Linked DNA regions of Arabidopsis thaliana. The protein of the gene in region 1 interacts with the protein of each later gene in a pairwise test. Each region holds a gene or a part of one and is shown on either strand. Other genes may lie near its edges.

Region 1 (8,662 bases):
GAAGTCTGAATCAAAGAAGCAATCAGATGGAGAAGAAGAAACTCAGAAAGAGCCAAGTGAGTCAACTAAAAAAGAGAGAAAACGTAAGAATCCTGAATCAAAGAAGAAGGCAGAAGCAGTTGAAGAAGAAGAAACCCGGAAAGAGTCTGTTGAATCAACCAAGAAAGAGAGAAAACGGAAGAAGCCTAAACACGACGAAGAAGAAGTCCCGAATGAGACTGAGAAACCCGAGAAGAAGAAGAAAAAGAAGAGAGAGGGAAAGTCTAAAAAGAAAGAAACTGAGACGGAATTTTCAGGAGCTGAGCTATATGTTACATTTGGTCCTGGTTCAAGTTTGCCTAAAAAGGAAGATCTGATTGAAATATATGAAAAATTTGGAGCTTTGGACAAAGAGAGAACTGATACGGTCGACAACAACTTCTCTGCCCATGTGGCTTTCTTGGATGTAGCTGATGGAGAAAAAGCCTTTGAATCCTCACTAGAGAAATGTCCGTTTACTTCTAATTCGACGGTGAAATTCAGACTCAAGTATCCAAATGAGAGAACAGAGGAGAAGAAAACTGAAGCTGAAGTTGCAGAGACGACAATGGAGGTGGAATATCTGAAGAAAAAGCTGGATGAGATGAAATTGTTACTTGATGGATGCGAAGGAGGAATGACTGAAGAAGTGAAAGTGAAACTTGAAGGTGAGATGGTAAATTTGTTGGAGAAAGTGATAGAGATGAGATCTTCTTAGGATTATGATTTTATGTTTTTATTTTGTTGGTTGAGAACTTTCAGGACAGGTTTTAGGATATTTATGGTTTCTGCAAAACATAACAAAAGTATTTTGAGAGGTTAATGTCTTGGTGATACTATGATCTTGTCGTAGGGTAGACAGAATTAGATCGATGTTCTATGTTTTTGTGTAGACTTTTTTAAAGTTTACCAACTTTGATACTAAACCCATTAGTGGGCTTTTGGTTTATCACTCTCTTGAAAGCCCACTAATTTTATTATATTACAAACAAAATTTTCAAAATCCTTTCGACGAGTATTGAATGTTTGATGAAGCCATACAAAGAGGGAGGTTGGAGATTTTTATTAGAAAGGGAGTCTCGTCGAGACTGAATCATTTACGTAATGCTAATTAGTGATCCAACAACATAAATGTTCTAAGACAATGAACAAATTCAACCATTTGATTGATCACAAAAAATGTATCCAGATAATGTATAAGAGTTAATTAAGATATTTGGCCAATTTCAAATTCAATTATCAAATTCAGAACATTAGGCTTAATCATGTTTGCTTGTTCATGTTTGCTTGTTCGTTTTTGCGTTAGTTCTCGGAGAAGCTGTAGACTTCTATCTTTGAGGTTTTGTGGACGGACCTTGAATAATCATGCTCGTGGCAACTAGGATGAGGATTCCAATACTTCGGTACTGCGGCAACAACGCAAATTTCCGAGCTTCGCGGACTCGGAATCGGTGTTTCTCCTCCTAACTTGGCCTTGATCACTCATCGGCGATCCTTTGCAATTAGAGTTGTAATGTTGTTCTTTAATTTTCTGTAAATTGTTTTGTTCTGCTTCTACTTTTCCTTGTAATTCTGTCAAAAACAAAAATGGTATAAAATTTCACCTTTTACCAAAATTAAAAAAAAATAAAAAATAAAAAATTCAGAAGATTAATTTATGTGCAGTAAAATACATACATAAGAAAAAATAACGGGACAATATATCTACTATTTTTTAGTTTATCACATCTATGATAATAATAAAATTATGAAACAATTAAAATGCCTAAATATGAATAAAATATAAAATTATTTAGTAAATAAATGACATAAAATGATAAATTCTTACAAAATAAATGTGAGATGATTATATTGCTCCTCAATTCATAAATAAAAGATGAGAATTCAAGATATCCATTGCTGTCACGAAATCTACCAAGTCACGTTAACGTGATTGGTTTTAATTTTAAGACATAAATACGTTTTAATGATTTGGTTTACTTTTTTGTTGGAACAATTTATTTAAGTCAACCAGAAAAAATAATCTCTAACAGTCTTGGCTTCTTCAACTAACTTTCAAATTCCAACGTACGAGGTCTGGTCTTATCTAAAGTATGAATATGTATGATAGATTAATCGTCATTGATTTCAGAACTCTAACATTAGTCAATGTAATTAATGTATAATTAAGAGACACAAAGAGCCTAACCTGACAAGACCTCATTCATTTTATAAAAATCTTACAAGCGGGTGATACGTAGAATCAAGGCTTGTAACAGCTGGATTATCTCGGTTGACCATATTTGTTGACTTAAAATGAAAAAATTTCCGACCTTATGCAAGCGAAGATTATATTTTACTCTCCTTTTATCATTTTAGATTTTCTCACATATTAAAACTATACCATTTATTTATAAATGTTCGAGTATAAATCATTATTAGAAAGATGCCAAACTAAATGATACAGTATAAATTAGATATTGGTAGTCTGTATTTTCCACTACACTAAAAGTTAGGATTGACCTTTTTTTTGGAGAATCCAGAATTAGATATAGAAACCAAGAGTTAGTTTTCACAGCTGAAAATGCACTAGTTATCACTTTAATTTGATTAAGTTGTTCTTTTCTGTACAAAATACGGAAAATCTTATGTGAACGCCAATGTACGAATGAAGTAGAAGTATAAACACTTAACTTGTAAACTAATAGGATATTTAAGTTGGTTACATTAGGGACATAACCAAATAACTTTCTAGTATAAGATTTTTTTATCAACTGATCATCCTTACTTTTACAAAAGAAAGTACAAAAGCTACAAGCAAATATTCGGAAAAAAATTTAATTGTATTCATATTATTATTATTGTTCATTATAATCTATTATTCGATAATTAATTACTTTTTAGAAGCTAATCATCAAAGATATTCAAAGGCAATACCCATTAGTAAAATCCATCATAGTGAGTGAACTAAGCTCGAAGTCGTCTTCAAGAACCCAAAAGGTATCGAACAGATTTGGAACCGTAGCTGCAACTTCTACGTCAGTTGGTGTTGCGTGGACTAGTTTGGATTTTGGTTTGAGTTTGGATTCGTCAACTAAAGTGTCGAACCTTAGAGTTGAATTTTTTCCACCGGAGATCTCTTGATGAGAGGAGGACGTTGTGGTTATAAGGGCCATAGACGGTGGAGACTCTACACCGCATGCGGCTTTGACGGCAGTTGAATGATCTCCGAGACCAAGTTTCTTGCTGAGATGTGTGTTCCAGTAATTCTTTACTTGGTTGTCTGTTCTTCCCGGAACTCTTTTCGCTATCAACGACCATCTAAATATTAAAAGAATTTACGATGTTAGATTAATATTTTTATTTGTGGTCTCTTAATCTTCAATTATAATAAATAAATATTGTATTATACACTATATGGATTTTCGAATGTGCTATAAATATGTGGCAAACTTTTGAAACAAGAAATCTTGTAAAACGGAGTTAATGCTTATGCATGGACCTATATAGAGCATGTGCGTAATACATGTAGCCAGATTATGTATGTTGTAGATGTTTATATGAGACATGTGTATATATATACAGATGATCCATAAATGAGTACAATTATGAATCATTGTTAGGTTCGAGAAAGCATATTTTTTGAATAGAAACCTAGCTATACAAATTAATGGCCGAAAAAACAAAGGACAGATCTAAGATTTTTGATTCAAATTTACGATCCGTTTCTTACTACTATTTTTGAATAACCATTATTTGCTTTGTGGACGTTTGTAAATAGTAGCTTAATAAAATACACTTATTTTATGAATAAATGAATATAATATATCAGTTAAATATAAGTAATCTATATCACAACTAAACAATTTAGAGATGTTTCAACCAAAAATAAATAAATAATAATAAACAATTTAGAGATTACCGTGAACTAAGGATCGAACAACAAAACATATATTATAAATATATAAATTATGGATTAGATATATGTGATATATAGCTAGCAAGCTGTACACATATAAACAATTTAAAGATTCACGTGAATGCAGCACCGAACAACAAAACACATGATCTAACATATATAATACTATTAGAATTGTATAAAAGAAAATTAAGCAAATATATATCTTTGAATATATGGAGAAAAAAAAGAACCTGTTGCCGAGGAGCTTGTGGAGTCTGATGATGAGATCTTCTTCTTGGTCAGTAAAATTGCCTCTGTTAACATTAGGGCTTAAGTAGTTCATCCATCTCAACCTACAGCTTTTCCCACATCTCTTGAGCCCTAATTATCATCAAAAGTTTCAATCTTTAGTACTAATTTTTATTTCTTAGGACAAGAAAGAGAGAAGTAAGAGCAAGTATACCAGAAGAAATAAGAGAGTACTATAATAGAAAGAGAGAGTATAAATACCAGTTTTCTTGGCGATGCGGTTCCAGTGGCCCTGGCCATGAGTTCGGACATAATCCATGAGGATCTTGTCTTCTTCCACTGTCCATAAACCTTTCTTGTATTCATGTTCTTTTCCATCTCTTGTCATTCTCATTCTTCTTCACTTTTCTTGATCCCGAGGAGAGAGAGAGAGAGAGAGAGAGAGAGAGAGAGAGAGAGAGAGAGAGAGAGAGAGAGAGAGAGAGAGAGAGAGAGAGAGAGAAAGTGGCTGAGTCGGTGATGATTAGTCGAGCCTGACTCTATATATATATATGATTCGTGTGACGTATATATTGTTTTGTTTACATGTATATGTGCGTATATATATATACGTAAGGACATGTTTGTTTTGTTTGCTGTTGTCTCTCCAAAAAGTCCGTATATGGTAAAGTCAATCCCTACATTCTTTTACCAATAAGTCAACCTAACGAAATTGATTTAACCATTTAAACGGGTGTAGATATAGACAACATGTTCTTCTTACTAATATATGAGAGAATTCATCAAATAAAATAAAGTATAGTATTAGTTAGTTGTGGCAAAGTAAAAATATGTTTTTATCAAAAAAGGAGATAGAGGATTTGAAGAGTTTGTTCTCAAATTGATTAATAGATGGATTTAGTAGGGAAACTATATAAAGAACTGGAAGGGCTTGTTGACTCTCTATCTTGTTGGTTTTGGTTGAACAATACTAAAAATATGTGATCCGAATAAACTCAATATTCCTCAACTATTAGTTGAAAACGGTGTACTATGTTTCTTCTATTGTATATTTTCTTATAAGAAAGATTTGGAAACGCTTTGCCTAAAAATTAAAAATCTAAAATTTAGTTGAGATTTAAGAGCAAAAACGTCCACGTAAAATTGTGGTGTGTGTTAACACCCGTTAGAAAAATATTTTATTGATCTAACGAAATAATTTACTTCATATTCCGAGTTTCAAATTTCTTGCTCGTTATAATTTACCAAAAGTTATAAATTAAATTAAATTTGTATTATATTTTTTTGTAACACTATATATCTATATCTGTTTCCTTACTTTTTTACACCTGTTTTACATATGTTATACTCAAGCCTCACATTTTGTTTTTCATTTTAAAAATGTATTGATAGTAAATATGTTTTGAAAGAAAAATCTGGGATTTATTTATAACCAAATTTATCCATATCTAATAAAGTATGTAAAAACTGTAACAAGATATGTCTAGGTAGACATGTGTATCCCAACTAACAAGTTAAGTAGAAGTGAAAATTGAAAAAAAGGAAGGTAATTACTATTGGACACAATAATATTCCCTTGGGATAGACAGTAGGCAGTTTTTACTTTTTATATTAATACCAAACATAGAAGATCCTCTGGCTCATCCAGCTAAGATATGTCAATATGTCATGTGTGTATATGTTCATATGAGTATTATTTTTTGGATCGGATCCCAATGGAGGGAGTTGAAGTCGATATATATAGTATGAAACAGGAAAATACAACTTTGACAACAAAAAATATAATATACGAATATAGTCTGTATATAATAGTTTTGTTCAGGAAATAGGAATACACAACTTTGACAAAAAAAAACAAAAACAAAAGAGTTTAACATGTAAAATTTGCTTTAAGAATAGTTACTATTCTCCAAACAATGTTATCAGTTATAAGTTATAACTAAACTATAGAATTAAACATCTTTGATACAAAAACATAAGTATCCGTGATACCAAACTCTAGACAGTAATGTAATATGATAATCACTACACTAAATATATTATGTCGGGCATATGAATTATGTACGTCTATAGATTATAGCTTCCACTTGATTTAGCCTACTTTTATTAGTTTTATGGATAATTAATGATATAGGACCTATAGATCCTTTTAATTCCAAAACTTACTTTCAGATCAACCCAACTAGTTGATGTTGATCATCTAATCTATTAATTAACTACACTAACATTCGTATTTCATACATTGTATTCGTAAAGTCCTATAGACTAAAAAATAAGCTAAGCAATCTTAATTCTCTACTAGGTTTTGACATTGCATGGGATAAAATTTTCAATAAACATAAATTACTATATTAAGAAATGGTATCATAAATATGATATTATATAATCATAAAGGATCTTCCTAAAATATTTCATGAGAGAAATTTCTCCAAAATAGGCATAATCTTAAAGTATATATCCAAGAACAACTATACCCTTTTATAATCTTTATTTTGTTATTTACTAAAATATAATTTCCTTTCTTAAATGCATTTGTCAAATGATACTTTAGTTATATATTATTAGAAAAAGAAAAAAAAAATAGAAATTAACCATTAAATTGTGTAATTAAACTGTTTTTGCTTCTTACATTTCATCTCATTGCATTCATTTATTATTTTAAATTTCTGTATAGAGCTATTCACATTTAGATTTTCCATCAATAATTTATAAGGTTTGTTATAAATCTCCCATAAATCATTATAAACATCTTGTGAAAAAGAATTTAAATGTACCCATTTTTGTTGTATTTTAGTCTTGTGTGGATCCAAATAATAAACTATACCAATATTCTTTTTTTTTCCCGTTTGAACAACAAACTATACTAATATTCTAAAACCAATAAACTAAACCGAAAAGAAACGTGAAATCACCAGTGGAGTGCATGGTAGTTAAAGGGCCTTATGGTATGAGAGTCCTACCAAGATTATTGTGTGCATTTTAGACTAACATTGTAGTGAGTAACAACTTTTTTTTTTTTTTGTAAATGAAAACATCATACTTTGTAAGTGAGTGACTGTAATACCTAATTTATTAAAAATAGTTGTTCATGTGAAGATGTTTTAAAATATCAATTTGACTAGCACATCATCAGTTTCACTTATCTTCTTATTTTCTTTAAATCACTTAGAGAAAGATTCAACAGTTGATCTCCTTAAGATATAGTAATTTAAGGATAAGTTACCAACTATATATATGAAGTGATTTTTGTGTCATATAAGTGCCAAAAGTTTTTTTATAAAGAAATCTCTTTGTGATCAACATGGATAGTTAATTAAAAGTATTTTGAACTTCCAAATAAGATCAAAAGCGTTTGTAGTTTTTTCTATGCACTCTCGATTTTCTTTTCTTTTCTTCTTTTTCTTTTCTTTGATTTTAAAGTCGGGGCAAATTTTAATGGACCTCATATAATCTCACAAAACAAAGTCCATGAGACAGCTTAAAGCTTCAAGTGAACTTTGTTTGTGCTAATAAGCTTGGTAGGTATTTTGGGAGATGTTATACAAGAAAAGAAGGCATCAATATACCATTAGCACAGTCAAACTCAGAACACGCTATTGTCTGTCTAACCAAGCCGTTGGCAATCGACATGTTTTATTTTCATTCACACATTGATTTTAATTGGAATTTATTTTCTGTAAATGGTCACGTGCAATTTTTTATACATTCAATAATTAATTAATTTATGAATTTATTGTGTACTCCAAATAAAGAGGAGGTTTCCTAATCATTGATGTGTCGATCACAAGTGGGTAGGCTGTAAATAGAAATACACTAACGAAAGGTCCATGACTCGTGACCCCTCAAATTTTTATTGTTACATTTCGTTTTTATCTTTAATATTTCAACACGGATAATCTGATGCGAAAAGTTCACATCAAATCAATTTCTATCATTTCTATAAATAATGTTTTTAATTTTGACATTTTAAACTTCTAACTAAAATTGGATGAAAAAAAAAAAAATTAATATTTTCATGGCTGTTTAATTAAAAATATCTACTTACTTAAAATGCTGAAAACTCTACTGGAGGCTTTGATTTTTTTCGTTAAATAACTGTGTGGTAGCAATTTGTAAATTATAAGGCTATAGCTTTTACAGAATATGAAATTATTTTATTTTTACCATTGCATTCCGTTTTAAACGGAATGAGAACTTTGACTACCTTTGTAATGAGGTATGTTGCTAGATACACTTTGTCAGTGTTATTCTTTAACTCATTCATTTAATTACCACATATTCTTACCGCTATTTACAATGGGAAGTTTCCAAAAATACTATTTAGAAGAAAAAAATCACGGACAAAAAACTTGTTTGATTTTTCTTCAAATACATATTACATAGGCATGAGTTTAAAATGTTTGATATTAAGATATTTACATCGCAATTAGATTTCAATGAGTCTATTTTTTCTTCACCATTTAATTTATCTTCCTTAAGCAGTACTTCTTCTTCTTTTTTAGCATAATATTACAT
Region 2 (6,611 bases), about 11 Mb from region 1:
ATAGATAAGTGTGTGAAATTATTTTCTTAAAAAGATAAATAATCATAACTACAGTATTATAAATACACAAATTAAGAAATATGTAACGTGTTTAATCCTTGGTTTGATCAGAACTTTTAATTATCCGATGTGTATAAATTTTGAAGAAGGGCCTATAGTTTTGTTTCTTGATGGGCCAAATCAGGCCCAATAATGTCGTACATGGTTGTTCTTCATGTACCGGAGATTCGGCGGCGACGAAACCGTCCTCATTGCGCCGCCGCAACTACCCGACAAACAACTAGCTTTCGTATTACTTCCTTGTATCTGATTTGATAATGGCGAAAACTAAACAACAGAAATCTAAGCCTAAGAAACAACCGCATCAGGTTTTCTTCATGATTCTCAACTTCAATATATGATTTTTGTATTCCCAAATCAGTCTGATTCGATTAGTATTGGCCTGTTTTGCTCTGTGGAAAATATTGTAATTTGTTTGTGTGGTTGATTTGAAAAAGAAGCAAGGAAAGGATTGTGATCTCTCTCAATTTCGTGCTCAGCTTGACGCTTTAGGGCTTAAGATTATCCAAGTGACTGCTGACGGTAATTGTTTCTTCAGGTATGTCTTTTGCTTTGATCATCGAATTCGATTTGTTTTTTGAAGAACAAAGCAATCGTGTTAGATTGAATAGTGATTCTCTTTCACAGAGCAATTGCTGATCAATTAGAAGGCAATGAGGATGAACACAACAAGTACCGTAACATGATTGTACTTTATATAGTGGTAAGTGGCAGCCATTACTTAGTGATATTTGGAAACTGTCTCTCTATATGTATATACAATACTTGATGGCTTTTGACAGAAAAATCGTGAAATGTTCGAGCCTTTTATCGAAGATGATGTTCCTTTTGAGGATTACTGTAAAACCATGGACGATGATGGAACTTGGGCTGGGAATATGGAATTACAAGCAGCTTCTCTTGTCACTCGCAGTAATATATGTATTCACAGGGTAATAATAACAATGCCTCTTCTCATCATCTGCTTCGTTTTTATCGATACGTTTGTTTGAGCAGTGGTATCTTTATGTTGCAGAACATGTCACCGCGTTGGTATATACGCAACTTTGAAGATACGCGAACCCGCATGATCCATCTGTAAGTATACTTGGTTCTGTTAATGATTCTTTTATCGGTTTGAATTTGCTTTTACTTTAATAGTTTCTCTTTCAGGTCTTACCATGATGGGGAACACTACAACAGTGTGCGTTCCAAGGAAGATGCTTGTGGAGGACCAGCCAGGCCTGTTGTAATAGAGGTTTTACTTCAAACTTTAGCTCTGTGTTTATCTGTAATATACATAAATTGTCTGTTTTTCTGTCCTAATAAATTCCAGTTGTGTGGAAGGCTGATGCTAAAGTTTCAGCAGCATCTAAACAAGCGAAAGCTACAGAGAGCAAGTCCAAAAATAAAGCTGATAAGTGTCATGTGAATGCTGGAGCTATCAAAGTTGTCATGTCTGGTAGTTGTTGTGACAATACTGAGAAAGCTGAACAGGTGATAATGCGATGCTTGGTTAATGTTTGAGAGAATATCATGATCATTAGTCCTCTCTTATCTTTAGGTTCTATTACAAGTTAATGGTGATGTGGATGCTGCTATAGAATTCCTGATAGCAGACCAAGGAATGGAGTCTTTGACTGAAAATGATACAGAAACCGCCTCTGCATCAGATACCATCAACCCAAAGCATGCAAGTGATAGTCCAATGGAAAACACCGAGCAAGCCAGAGAAGAATTGATAGAGGAGGAATCAGCTAGCGGCAATAACAGTGAAACAGTCCAAGCCAAGTGCACTACACAGACCGATGATAAGGTTTGTTGGCTCGCTTAAACCATGAGATAGCTTATTTCCTTATGATTGCATTAAAATATGATCCGAATATAAAAGGATTTCTGTGAAAACTGCAGAAGATCCCAAGGAATAAAACATGTCCATGTGGTTCAAAGAAGAAATACAAGTCCTGCTGTGGAACAGCAACTGGGAGATCCTCTGTAAAACTGTTAGTGTAAGTTTCTTAAAACGGTTCTGCAAAACACTCAAAGCAGAACTTAACTAAAGATGAGTGTTTCTTGATTAATTTGCAGGAGCCAAACAATGGAGTCGAAGAAGGGGAGAAAGAATTTGAGAAGAGGAACATCGAATGAAGTTGAAGCAAATGCACCAGATGTTGGTGCTCTTTGTATATAATTAAGTCTCACTCACTCAAGGTGATCACGTTTTCACTCCATTTATTCACACCAAACTCTTTTATCTGTTTAGCAAGAACAGTAATTGGTTACTAAATCCGTTTGGTTATCTCTCTATTTCAGGCGAAGACATAAATTTAGTATGAACTTGGAGTTAGGATCACTCGCGAGTATACCTTTTTTGTTGTCTGATTAAATTAACAGAAAGAAAAAAACTTGTTATACCGTACTCAAGAACATATATGTATTACAGAGCCCAAAAATAGCTCGAGAATAACTCAAATTCATTAAAGCATAACTTGGTTAACACTAGCTCAGATGATGATTGTGATGATAGTGATGATGATGATGATGAATCAGGGACGAGAGAAGTGGAAGGTGCGAGGAATGCGGTAAGGGGAAGGTTGAGGAGAGAATCCTGATGATGCTGCCATTCCCACCACTCGATTTCCTCCACCGTCCGATTGCTGCTTTTCCGATCTGACAGTCGTCGTCATCATTGCTAGCGATAGATCGCTCCCTAATAATCTCTCCTCATCTCTAATCCTACTTCTTATGCTTGCAATCTTTAAAATTATCATACATATGAATTATATCACCAATTTAATTATTTTCCGACAAAAACAATATACATACACAAACATGAACACTTACATCAGACTTGAGTCTAAACTCTTCAGATGATGATTCTCCTAGACTTAGACCAAGATTATGACCGTTCCTCGTCGTCTCTGTTGATTTTTACAATAGAATCTGGTGACTGGAGTAAATTTTAAGACAAAAAAAAAAAGTAAAAATAAATTTACCTGAGCTAAGATCTTCTTCTTCCTCGTATACTTTAGGGTCAAAATTGGTAACAGCGTCTTTCCCATTACACTTTATTGCCGCTTTATCATAAGCTCTATATTCAAATTTCAGTTTTTTCATATTTCGTACCAGGAAAAAAGTAAATATTTTTTTTGGTGATGAGACAGTGAATAATGAAGAAGTACCTAGCAGCTTCAATCTCGGTATCAAAGAGACCCAAATAAACGTACCTGAAAAGATAGCAAACAAAAAAAGCAAACAGGACACTTCAAATTAATAAGAAACAGACTGGAAATTTAATATTTGCACCAAAAACTATGAAGAAATTAATACTTTTTGTTGAGGAATTGACCCAAACGTGACTCCCATCTTCCACATTTGTGCAAAGTAACACCTCTGTATTTAGAACTGCCTCTTGGAAACCCAGTGCTTTGCCTTCTAAGTACATGCATAAACTCTTCCTTTGTCAAATTTCCCATCTGCAAAAAAAAAAAACCAATATTTCATTGTGTTTTCTTCTGAGTAGTAAGTAATTAAATTACTAGTATAACCTAAAGTAGATATATCCATAAAAGACTTATATAGAACCTGTTTCAAATCGTCAAGGTAGTCTTCAATGTCGAAATTAATATCTGCATCTACACCTCTGAATTTAATCGCCGCTCGATCATAGGCTCTGTCTCAAATATTTATTGACCCATATTATAGCCAATAACAAAATAATGAACAAAAAATGATACTAGTATAGTAATGCGTTAGCTAGGTTCGAAAATATACCGAGCAGCAGCATGTGCAGTGTCAAATCCACCTGCATATATATGTAACAACAATTAGAAGGAAACAAAACCCTTTGTTTTGTCAAATAAATCGAAGACACAAAAGTTAAATCGTAATTTTTATGTATATGAACCATACCTAAGTACACTTGCTTCCCACAGTCCCTGCATAATATTCCAAAACATTTTATGAAAATAATTGAAATGATAACACTACATATGGTTTTAAAAGGTATTATGTGATTTACCAAATATGTGACTCCCATCTTCCGGTTCGTCGGTAAAACGTAACTCCTCGATACTGAGAGCTACGTGAGCGAGGACCACGTCGGCTCTTCTTTATCGGCGGTGATATCTCCGGCTCTTCTGGTCGACCCGATCCGCTTGGATCCGACTTACCGACACTATTGAAACCGGACCAACGAACTCCCGGTTCCATGCTTTGAGCCGGAAAGAAATTCCTGGTCACCGGAAGCACAAACGGTAGCCACGTTGCAGATTGACTCATCCCGTTTGACACGTGTCCGACCGGATTCCCTCTACTGTCGGATTCTTCGTGATGATCGGGTGAGTCGTTAAGGTTCCACATTATTTGTTGTTCCTTTGTGTAAAGTAAAGAGGAAAAAAAATAAGAAACTTGGGAGAGAAATAAGAGAGAAGAAGAAAACTCAGATGAGAATAACCATCAAAGCAAATAAAGGTAGGTTCTAAATAAATAACTAAATTATTTAATAGAATAAATATCTGACTCTATTCAAGTATTCATCATTAGAGAGGTGCAGGATTTTTTTTTATCAATGAAAGGAGTCAAAGGAAAAAAAAATATTTATGAAGAAATTCATTTTGAAAATTGATTCTTTCCCAATACAAGTGTATTAGACTGTCTCCTAGTTTTTGGTCTCCTGAGTATTGACATCACATTTTTCTTTTATATAAAAAGGGCAAGTAAATTCAGAAATTCAAAAGTTTGCTGAAATTATTATGGACTAAAATGTAGGATGTAGATGGGAGTATCTTTATTTTTTATTTATTGTCCTATTTAATTTCTCCTACTCCAACTACTCACAATTTATCATTTTAGGACTATAATTTATATCTTTCTTTCTTCTCCGAAAACAAATTGGGACATCAATTCAGCAGCATATGATTATTTTCAACATCAACAACATAATCATGTTGTTATCTACAAACAAAATTTTATGTTTGTTTAGTGGAGCGAAACTTTTTTAAAAATGTAATTCCCTGTATATTTGTTGAATATAGAAAATTACAAATGTGTAAAAACAAAAACAAAAAACAGGATGAACAAATCCGTGTAAAAGAGTTTCGTAGGAGAAGAAAAGGAAACGGAAATAATGTGATGGGAAAAGAAAAAAAACGAAGTAATACCTAAAATGCCCCTATCCAAGAGTACGGGAAACAGCTTTTTCTCTCTTTCCATTGCTTTGATTACACCTTCACTCTCTTGTTATACGCGCGTGTACTCACTCTCCCTTCACATTTTGATTTTTAATCATTGTTTTCACATTTACTTAAGGTATTTACATCAACTCAGAAAGAATAATCATCCTGTCTCTCCATTTTTTATTATGTTCATATACATCGACATTTTATTTAAAAAATTAAGAAAATTAGAAAGAAAAAAAATAGATGAATTTGAAAATGTATTCGACATATAACCTTTTTGAGATTTCTCGCATATGGGATTTTTATTAACGTCTCTACTGTTTCTTAAAAATTCCCCCATATCGTTAAAGTAATGTTTTATTTGAAATCAGCAATGAAAAATTATTGCAACAGTTGGTTATCGTTTATAAAAAGATAATCATAACTCTGGTTAATCATTCATCATGCAAGTATGCAACTATTGTTTTACTTTACTTTTTTTATAATGATGTTAACAGAATCTTGATACTGATATAGTTATACTTATTTTTTTTGTAGTGGATCATTTTCTTTTCAGAATCGTACTTATACTTGCATGTTTCTCTTGAGACAAGTTCAAGTTTAATTAGTAGCGTCTGCTGACCCAAAAAAAAAAAGAACGAATAAAATTGTCTATATTGACACACAGAATTTTTTGTATTTAAAAAATTTCAAAACGCATATTTCTAAATACGTGTTTAGTAGTTACTAAAGCAAAGAATAGGTGTGGGTAAAAGGAGATCCAAAGCGTGAAAGAATAATATTACAAGTGGGGGAGGAAAAAGCCAAACCTTCCCCTAATGGAACTATGACGATGCTTTGATGCTCTCTGTTTCTTTCCCTAAGTAGTAATTACAAAAACTCCCTCTCCCTCTTTCTCTCTACGCATATATCGACTCCCATAATGGCAATCTTAGCCCCACATTTCCCATAATGGCAATCTTAGCCCCACATTTGTCTCGCTAACAAATCATATCGGATGGCGTTTTTCTTTTTGATTGTAGATAGCTTTTTTCCCCTATCATGGAATCCAACCAATTTGAAGATGCCACAAGAAGATATATTGTTACCAAAGTATTAATCAGTGATTAGCATGCATGTACCATATATTTTTATTCAATAGCGAATCTATAGAAATCAAATCTAGGATATATGTGTATGTTCAGTATTTATGATGGATTATTGGTTTTAGAATTCATATATTTTATACTTCTTCACATATATTATCAAAATCCAATTTCAAACTTCGAAAGACTCACATTTTAACAAAAGTAACACGCGTAATAATGTGAATAACGACGTTTTCAAATAGGTTTGTGCTTGTCCACATCTTATTCAACCTTATCATGATCTATAATCCAGTTTCTGACTAAA

What was found. Proteins that work in one complex are often made in the same cells at the same time.
Region 2: the proteins of MYB23 (region 1) and TOE3 interact in a two-hybrid assay, tested with the Arabidopsis thaliana proteins (one large-scale study listed by BioGRID).

Annotation. Positions count from the first base shown.
Region 1 is NC_003076.8:16,123,728-16,132,389, reverse strand, and holds MYB23 (myb domain protein 23), read right to left. Parts: upstream 4,666-8,662; 5' UTR 4,542-4,665; coding exon 4,409-4,541; intron 4,280-4,408; coding exon 4,150-4,279; intron 3,319-4,149; coding exon 2,922-3,318; 3' UTR 2,729-2,921; downstream 1-2,728. Other genes in the region: AT5G40340 (Tudor/PWWP/MBT superfamily protein), read left to right, coding at 1-736. UniProt on the Arabidopsis thaliana protein: Transcription activator, when associated with BHLH2/EGL3/MYC146 or BHLH12/MYC1. Regulates the epidermal cell fate specification. Mediates the formation of columellae and accumulation of mucilages on seed coats.
Region 2 is NC_003076.8:26,799,534-26,806,144, forward strand, and holds TOE3 (target of early activation tagged (EAT) 3), read right to left. Parts: upstream 4,717-6,611; 5' UTR 4,402-4,716; coding exon 4,061-4,401; intron 3,978-4,060; coding exon 3,952-3,977; intron 3,845-3,951; coding exon 3,814-3,844; intron 3,713-3,813; coding exon 3,625-3,712; intron 3,516-3,624; coding exon 3,370-3,515; intron 3,267-3,369; coding exon 3,222-3,266; coding exon of another isoform or gene 3,137-3,221; intron 3,131-3,136; coding exon 3,036-3,130; coding exon of another isoform or gene 2,971-3,035; intron 2,961-2,970; coding exon 2,884-2,960; coding exon of another isoform or gene 2,833-2,883; intron 2,796-2,832; coding exon 2,586-2,795; 3' UTR 2,416-2,585; downstream 1-2,415. Other genes in the region: AT5G67170 (SEC-C motif-containing protein / OTU-like cysteine protease family protein), read left to right, coding at 318-368, 498-598, 688-763, 843-992, 1,076-1,137, 1,213-1,297, 1,387-1,536, 1,604-1,855 and 2 more.